Lonchura striata: one gene and its partner. The protein of the gene in region 2 purifies or fractionates together with the protein of the main gene of each other region. This does not show direct contact. Links are inferred from orthologs where the notes say so. Each region holds a gene or a part of one and is shown on either strand. Other genes may lie near its edges. The genes, in order: EXOSC9 and EXOSC10.

Region 1 (3,908 bases), on a different chromosome or scaffold from region 2:
TACACAATCTTTTCCAATAAAATCAGACAGTTAATTGGTTTCTCAGCTTCCAAATGTCATGGATATTTCCACATCAAGACTGCAGCACAGGAACCAGTCTATACACCACAGAAGGACTGATCAGAGCAAAGGTTTACCTGATCTGGCAGCAGCATGACCACTCCACTGGACTGGATGGTACAAATTTCATGGTGTTTATTCATGGCAATTACGAGGAGCCCATCCATCACCCGCTCCTCACGTTCAGTTGGGTCCACCAACAAATAGGTCCTAGAATCAAGGTTTGAAATATGAGGCAACAGTAGAAATTCGAGACACCTTACTACCCTTAAACACAATTAAACAAAGGAGTTGGCAAGGTTTATACCCCTTATGTGGGTACATAAGACCTCAAAATCTTACCCTTGATGGAAGAAGGCAAAACTGACACAAATGGGCATGTGGTGGATACTCAAGGGGACAGGATCACGTTCCTCAGGAGTGTACTTGGAAAGGAATTGGCCCAGAATACAGTTATTTATTAAACTCGTTTAATTTTAAAGTGACAAAGAAATTTCAGGAAATTTAAAACAGAAACAAAAACCCAGCTTACCACAGTTACTTCCTCTCCTTGCACAGACACATCTGGCCTGCGAAAATGACACAGAGCTACAATCCCTGCTATGCTGGCAGCATCAGTGATGTTGCCATCATGGTTTAACAGGTGCATGTCCAGCCGAATTTGCCAAACCTGACAAAAATACAAAAAATACAAAACTGCTTGATTCTACAGAAATTAATTTTTCTTCAAAACTAGTTCATCTTTTTTGAAACAGACAAAGAACCAATATATTTTCCCTAGGTCTTTGACTAAGAAGATTAGAGATCTAGGTATATTTCAAGAGACCCACTGTGCCAGATTTAATTAGGACAAAATATGCAGCACTTCAGCACAATTTAAACAACATTCTGTAGGGTCCCAGCTACTTCAGAAAGCCTATGCAGACATGACAAGTTAAAAATACCTCTCAAATCAGATGAGTGGATCTTTACATTAACCTAAAATCAGTACTTCTACTATCCAACACAAGACAGAGACCAACTTAAAATTGGACTATATGTATTTTTTAGTTTAAACCCACCAGGAATGAAGAAGTTTTCCTACCTTTTCACCAGCAACAACGCAGAGAGATTCAGTCTCAATACATTTGGAATCTCTGAGGCATCGCTCCAGTAGTCTGTTCAGTGACACCAGTAACTCAGATTGTCTGTTGGAATAAAATTAACCCAAAGTCAATACGATTACAGTGGCTTTTATGCCATCCCTGTTTACTCCTTTTAAGACATGCATTACCTGCCAGGCTCCAGCCCAGGTGCAGCCATGGGTGAGAGCTCCAGATTGAAGAAGAGCACACCCTCTGTGGGTCGACTGGGCTTAGGCGGAACGAGTTCACACGAGACCTGTGCAAGAACCCTGCCAAGGCAAATAAACCACCAAGTCACAGAAAATACCAGGGAAAATCTAGAAACAAAACACATACTTGGGGAGAAAAAAGCATGTGGTTAGGGTTTTAGTTTGTAATTCTCACTCCTGACAGTTTCTCGTTCAACATCTGTCAAACATTATTTAAAATCTGGTCAACAACTGAAGGAGCCAAATGTTAAGAACTAGAACGTACTCCTGTCTTTTAAGACTAAGAATTGACTCAAACACATGAGAAACTGTAATGACATATTTATGTAAATGCACAGATTTCACTTTTACACAGGCAAAAAAGGGTTGTTTGGTCTGGGGAAGAATGCAAAACGTGAGACCACTGAATAAACGGATGAAAACCTGGGAACAATTCTGCATTTTATAAATTATTTGTAACTACAATCATCACGGAAACCCCATCCCTTTCCCGCTTCCTTCCTTTCCATCCTCTCCTCTTTGCTCCCACCCTTGAAATACTAGGGCTTTAGGGCTTGAAAGGTTAAAATCTGTTTACAGAGATGTCTGCAGGCAGGGGAACCTCAGGCTCTCCTTGGCCCGGGGCCCGCGGCCGAGCCCCCGCGCCCACCTGGTCCTGCCCAGCTCCACCATGCAGCAGCCGCGGTCCGCGCCGAAGGAGACGCGGATGTTCCGGTAGTCGTAGCACTGCCTCCCGTCCAGGCGCTGCGGGAACACAGGGACACACACATGGAGAGGGTCGGTGCGCCATGCCCGCCATGCGACGGCACCGCGGCGGGGGAGGCGGCTCCCGGCGACAGCCGCGCTCCGCGGGCGGCGGGCAAGGGGATGGGGAAAGGGATGGGGAAAGGGGCGGGGAGGGGGGTGCTGGCGCCGCACCTTCTTCTCCTGGATGGCGCGGAGCAGGAAGCGCCGCTCGCAGTTGGAGAGCGGCGTCGCCTTCATGGCCGCGCCGTGAGGGGGCAGCGCGCGCGGGGCACGGCGCGGGGGGGGAGCGCGCGCGTCATCGCCGCGCGCCGCGCGTGCCCAGCGCGCACGCGCCGCGGCGTTGCCGCCCCCGCGCGCGCCCCCTCAGGGAGGGCGCGGCCCCGAGACTCCCGTAGCCGGGCGGCAGCGCGCTCTGCTTGGGGAAACTTCCTGCTATCCGAGCTAAACCTGCCCCCACTCAGCTTCACGCTGCTTCCCCGAGTCCTATCCCTGGTCACCAGAGTGCAGAGATCGGCATTGCCCCTCCGCTCCCCCTCCCGAGGATGCTGAGGTCTCCCCTCAGTCTCCGCCAGCTGAACAGACCAAGCGCCCCCAGGCGCCCCTCACACGGCTTCCCCTCCGGGCCCTTCAGCACCCTCGTGCTCTCCAGCAGCTCCCTGTCTTTTCCTTACTGCGGTGCCCAAAACTGCACGCAGCACCCGAGGAGAAGGCGCGCCGGTGCAGGGTGTGAGGGTGCGCGCCTCAGCGCCTCGGCAGCGACAAATGGTGCCGGAGTGCCGGTCCTCAGGAAAGCCATCTGGAATTTAAAAAAAAACAACCAAACAAACAACAACAACAACAACAACAAAAAAAAAAAAAAAAAAAAAAAAACACAAAAAAACCCAACAAAAAAACCGCACAAAACATGCATGCCGGACATTTCGAGTGGTTAACACTATTGTGGTGCCCAGCCCTCCAGGTGCGGATGCCCCGCGGCACCCGGGCTGCCAGCAGAACATCCCTCCCTGCTGTTCTGAAATGTTGCCCGTAAGTAAAAAGGCCTTTACAAGTGGCTTTTATGCTTCGTTTGAGCTAAAACGAGAAAATCTATTGTCTTCCCACCAATACTAAACCCCAGACACTGGCATATTCCACACAAAAGTGTTGAAATAGCTCAGTCACGCTGTCTTTTCAAGCCTTGTTAATACACTACAGTTCTGGTACAAACTAAAATGTAAGTCGTGTTTCTAAAACTCACAAGTTTGTGCTAGTGAGGACAAGTGCTGCCTGATTTTCCCATGCTGGTTTTATATTTTCAGTTTAGGATAAATATCATCACAAATAATAGGTGTAAGAAAATATCTATAAAATTACAGAAAGACACTCCTTCTCCAAGGACAAAAATAAGCAAATTGCCCTTGGAGTTTTACTGACAATTTTTACGTGGAAATTCTGTCTGATTTTACTTTTTTGGTGTGAATTTGGCGACAATATTCATTAGCGAAGGCTTGGGGTTAAATTCTGTAACTCTTCAAGTTTACTAACAGCAAATTTGGAAGCGTTTTTTTTTGTTTGTGGGAGTTGTCCAAACTACTTTACTCTTCGTCAATTACAAAAATATGTTAATTTCAGCATATATTGAGATTTCTGCTTGAGGTGGAGTGGGAAAATTCCTGTTCCTGCTCTCTCAGTGAACTGTTAAGTGACTCGATCTATCGGGCTGGCGGAAAAGCACGTTTTCAAAAGAGAAGGTGGTGGTGATGGTGAACTTCAGTGGGAGCTGGATGTA
Region 2 (3,908 bases):
CAGGAGCATTTGGACAACGCTCTCAGGTACAAGGTGGGATTGTTGGGGTGACCTTTGCAGGGCCAAGAGCTGACAATCCCTCTGGGTCCCTTCCCACTCAGGACCTTCTGGTCCTGGGACCCACCAGTGGGTGTTTGTGGGGGGAAATGGCTGAATGTGCCTCATGGCAGCCGATGGGTGTTTGTGGGGGGAAATGGCTGAATGTGCCTCATGGCAGCCGATGGGTGTTTGTGGGGGGAAATGGCTGAATGTGCCTCATGGCAGCCGGTGGGTGTTTGTGGGGGGAAATGGGCGAATCGGTGTGTTTGTGGGAGAAATGGTTGAATGTGCCTCACAGCAGCCAGTGGGTGTTTGTGGGGGAAATGGCTGAAATCTGCCTCACGGCAGCAGGTGGGTGTTTGTGGGGGAAAAAGGCCGAATGTGCCTTATGGCAGCCAGTGGGTGTTTGTGGGGGGAAATGGCTGAATGTGTTTCATGGCAGCAGGTGGGTGTGTGGGGGGAAATGGGCAAATTGGTGTGTGTTTGTGGGAGAAATGGCTGAATGTGCCTCACAGCAGCCGGTAGGTATTTGTGGGGGAAATGGCTGAAATCTGCCTCAGAGCAGCAGGTGGGTGTTTGTGGAGGAAAAAGCCTGAATCTGTGGGTGTGAGGGGAAAAGGCCGAATATGTCGCACAGCAGCCAGTGGGTGTTTGTGGGGGGAAAGGCCGAATGTGTTGCACAGAAGCCAGTGGGTGTTTGTGGGGGGAAATGGCTGAATGTGCCATACAGTAGCTGGTGGGTGTTTGTGGGGGGAAAGGCCGAATGCGCCTCACGGCAGCTGATGTTTGTGGGGGAAAGGCCGAATGCGCCTCACGGCAGCCGTGTTTGTTGTGGGGAAAGGCCGAATGCCCCTCACGGCAGCCGGTGGGTGTTTGTGGGGGGAAAGGCCGAATGCGCCTCACGGCAGCCGGTGGGTGTTTGTTGTGGGGAAAGGCCGAATGCGCCACACGGCAGCCGGTGGTTGTGGGGGGAAAGGCCGAATGCGCCACACGGCAGCCGGTGGTTGTGGGGGGAAAGGCCGAATGCGCCACACGGCAGCCCGGCCGCGCGGCCGCCGAGCCGCTCCTCAGACCTTCCCGCCCACACAGGGCTCGTCCTGCCCCGTCCGGCCGCTGGGGGCGCCCGCGGTGCCCGCGGGTCTCAGCTCCCTTCCGGCCCGCAGTTCTCGCGACAGCCGCGCGTCAACATGGCGGCTGCCGGCCGTGAGGGGAGCCCGGCGGGGCGGGCGGGCAGCTCCGGGGCGCCCGCGGACACCGAGGGAAGGAGCACGATGCCGGCCTTGCCCGGGTTCGACAGTCCCGACGCCTTCGTCAAGGTGAGGTCGGAGAGGGGCAGGGAGAGCGGGTGAGGCACTACCGCTCCCGGCGTGCCGTGTGCGCTCGGGCCATGCCGGGAGCTGTAGTTCTGTCCCGCGGGGCCGCGTGGGGATCCCAGCCTGAGCTGGGACACCCCACGGGTGTCTCCCAGTGCGAGAAGGAGGGTGTGGGCCGGCCGGCGGGTGCGGGGCCCAGAGAGGTGTGTCTGGACCTGTTACCGGCCTGGGTCGGGCCCTGTCAGCCACCGGGGACTCCTGGAAATGCCAAGGAATCAGGACGCTCATGAAGCCTTGTTGCGATGAGAATTGCCTCTCGCCTTACAAATCGCAGCATCAGCCCCCGTGTGTTTTACCTTTCGGAGAGGAAATGGCTGCTACATCCCAAATTTGCAGGGATTTGGGGTATATTGTTAGAGTAATAAAGTAATTATCTGTGTTCCTGCTGATTTAGAACTGTAGAATATTCTGCATTGGAAGGTTCCCACAAGGATCATCGAGTCCAGCTCCTGGCCCTGCACAGACACCCCTACAACCCCACCTCGTGCCTGAGAGCATTGTCCTAATGCTCTTGGAGCTCTGGCAGCCTTGGGGCTTCGACCATTCCTGGGAAGCCTATTCAGTGTCTGATCACTAGTTTTTAAACTTTTGATATTTAAAGCTGTGTAAATAATGACATGAAGTTACTCCTGGTGAAAAGCCCCGCAGTACCACACATTAGAACCATGCAGTTCCAGCCAGGCAAAGTACATTTCTATCAAAGAGTATCTCGAGTAAAGAGAAACAAAATGCTGATGATAAAATGCTGGTGTTCTTGCACAGTATGCTCTCGGCACAGTGGTGGCTGCAACAAAGGCATCTAGCGGGCTGCCCCAGCCCGGTGACGAGTACGATTTCTACTGCAGCTTCCCTGGGTTCCGCGCGTACTGCAACACGCAGAGCGACCGCCTGCTCCGCTGGTAAGGGCCCCTCTGCCCCTCTGAGCTGTTGCTAGTAGCTGTCAAGCCACACCAAAAAGTAGCCCCCTTCTTCGACAACTTCGTGCTTGCCATAGGTAAAGAGGTGGTTTATTTCATATGTCTGATTTCAGCTGCTTCTCTAGCACTTGGCAGCTGAAGTGGCAAGCTTAAAGAGGGTATTTCATAATGATTGCCATGAAGAGCTGTGCAAAGAAGATACTGAACACACCTGATACTGAACACATTAGGCTGCCCATTTTAAAAGTCATGTTTGTGAGAAACTAATTCTAACACTTTAATATTGTATAGATGCTTTTTCTATTTACTGCTCATGTAATGATATCTATAATTTGATTTATTTTCAGACTTTTAAGGGTAGAAAGTCTAAGAGAATTGGGTGTTTTAGTGTTTAGATAGCCTGCTTTCAGATTGCTGACAGCTGTGCTGTTCTCTTGCAAGCATGAGCCAGGTGATGCAGTACCATGGCTGCCGGAGCCTCATGAAAGATTCCAGCAAAGTGACAGGGCTGGAAGATAAATTTGATATGCTGGTTGACTCCAATGATGTCATTCTTGAAAGAGTGGTAAGTAAATTATTTCTGGATGTGTTTCTTATAAAGTATTCAGTTGCCATAAGTTTTCTTTTTTTTGTTGCAAGAACTCTAGTGGCACAGCTTCCACAATTACTCACTGTTTCCTCAATTTGATGTATTCCCTTTTTATTTTAAAAACTTCCAAATGCTAGGCCAGAGATCGCAGCAAAGGTAGGTGGGCCAAAGGTGGGGAAGGTAATATGGGATGTGTGAGGAAACTAAATACAGTTTGACATAAAATACTCACAGCCTGAGAACATGTCTATACATTTTAGAGAGCTCTGAAGAAACTCTTCCCACCCCTCATCTTCAACGTGGTCTCATGTTTGTCTTTGTGTTGCACAAAATTTGGGGGAGATGGCTATGGAGGTACCTACCTACATGACTTTCTTTACTCAGCTTGATTAGAGTGTCTGGGTGTGGTGATTTAACAGGTGTTTCACATTGGTTTTCTGGATTTTAGAGTATTTTATTGGATGAAGCATCAGGAGTGAATAGAAACCAGCAGCCAGTCCTGCCAGCTGGGTTACAGCCCCCACAGATGATTGTTTCCAGCTGGAACCGTAAGGTGAGGCTCCCATGCTCAGTTTGGCTGTCTTAGCTCAGCTGTTCTCCCAGCCATTGCACTTCCAGTTCTCCAGTGTTTTTTCATGCATTCTAAGTACCTCTCTCTTTTTCTCTTTTTCCTACTCATTCAAACTTGGTTCTGAAATCTTCATGCTTTCAATTGCCATTTCAGTTTCACATGCTCAACAGCCTTTCCTGTGCTTATGAATTCAGGATCTTGAGTCACAACTTCTTTTCCTTAATGAAAAATAGTTACTCAGTTTTAATTGTGGGGTATAACTCTTCCTCTGAATGTTGGATCAGACTGAGGAAAAGAATGTCTGGTAAGTCATGTTAGTTTTACCTCTGTTTTTTTTAAATAGGCAGGAGAATTCCACAAGAGAACTCAGTCTGAAACATTCCGACTGCTTCATGCCAAGAATATTTCTCGACCACAGC

What was found.
Region 1: the proteins of EXOSC10 (region 2) and EXOSC9 purify together in Homo sapiens (co-immunoprecipitation; 7 studies listed by BioGRID and IntAct, with this or other methods). This does not show direct contact. The link is inferred for Lonchura striata from reciprocal best matches to the Homo sapiens genes EXOSC10 and EXOSC9.

The regions. Positions count from the first base shown.
Region 1 is NC_134606.1:69,540,050-69,543,957, forward strand, and holds the start of EXOSC9 (exosome complex component RRP45), read right to left. Parts: upstream 2,419-3,908; 5' UTR 2,378-2,418; coding exon 2,312-2,377; intron 2,138-2,311; coding exon 2,043-2,137; intron 1,454-2,042; coding exon 1,334-1,453; intron 1,248-1,333; coding exon 1,145-1,247; intron 731-1,144; coding exon 593-730; intron 486-592; coding exon 403-485; intron 271-402; coding exon 138-270; intron 1-137. UniProt on the Homo sapiens protein: Non-catalytic component of the RNA exosome complex which has 3'->5' exoribonuclease activity and participates in a multitude of cellular RNA processing and degradation events.
Region 2 is NC_134626.1:5,832,448-5,836,355, forward strand, and holds the start of EXOSC10 (exosome complex component 10), read left to right. Parts: upstream 1-1,211; 5' UTR 1,212-1,226; coding exon 1,227-1,355; intron 1,356-2,174; coding exon 2,175-2,311; intron 2,312-2,770; coding exon 2,771-2,894; intron 2,895-3,366; coding exon 3,367-3,471; intron 3,472-3,832; coding exon 3,833-3,908. UniProt on the Homo sapiens protein: Catalytic component of the RNA exosome complex which has 3'->5' exoribonuclease activity and participates in a multitude of cellular RNA processing and degradation events.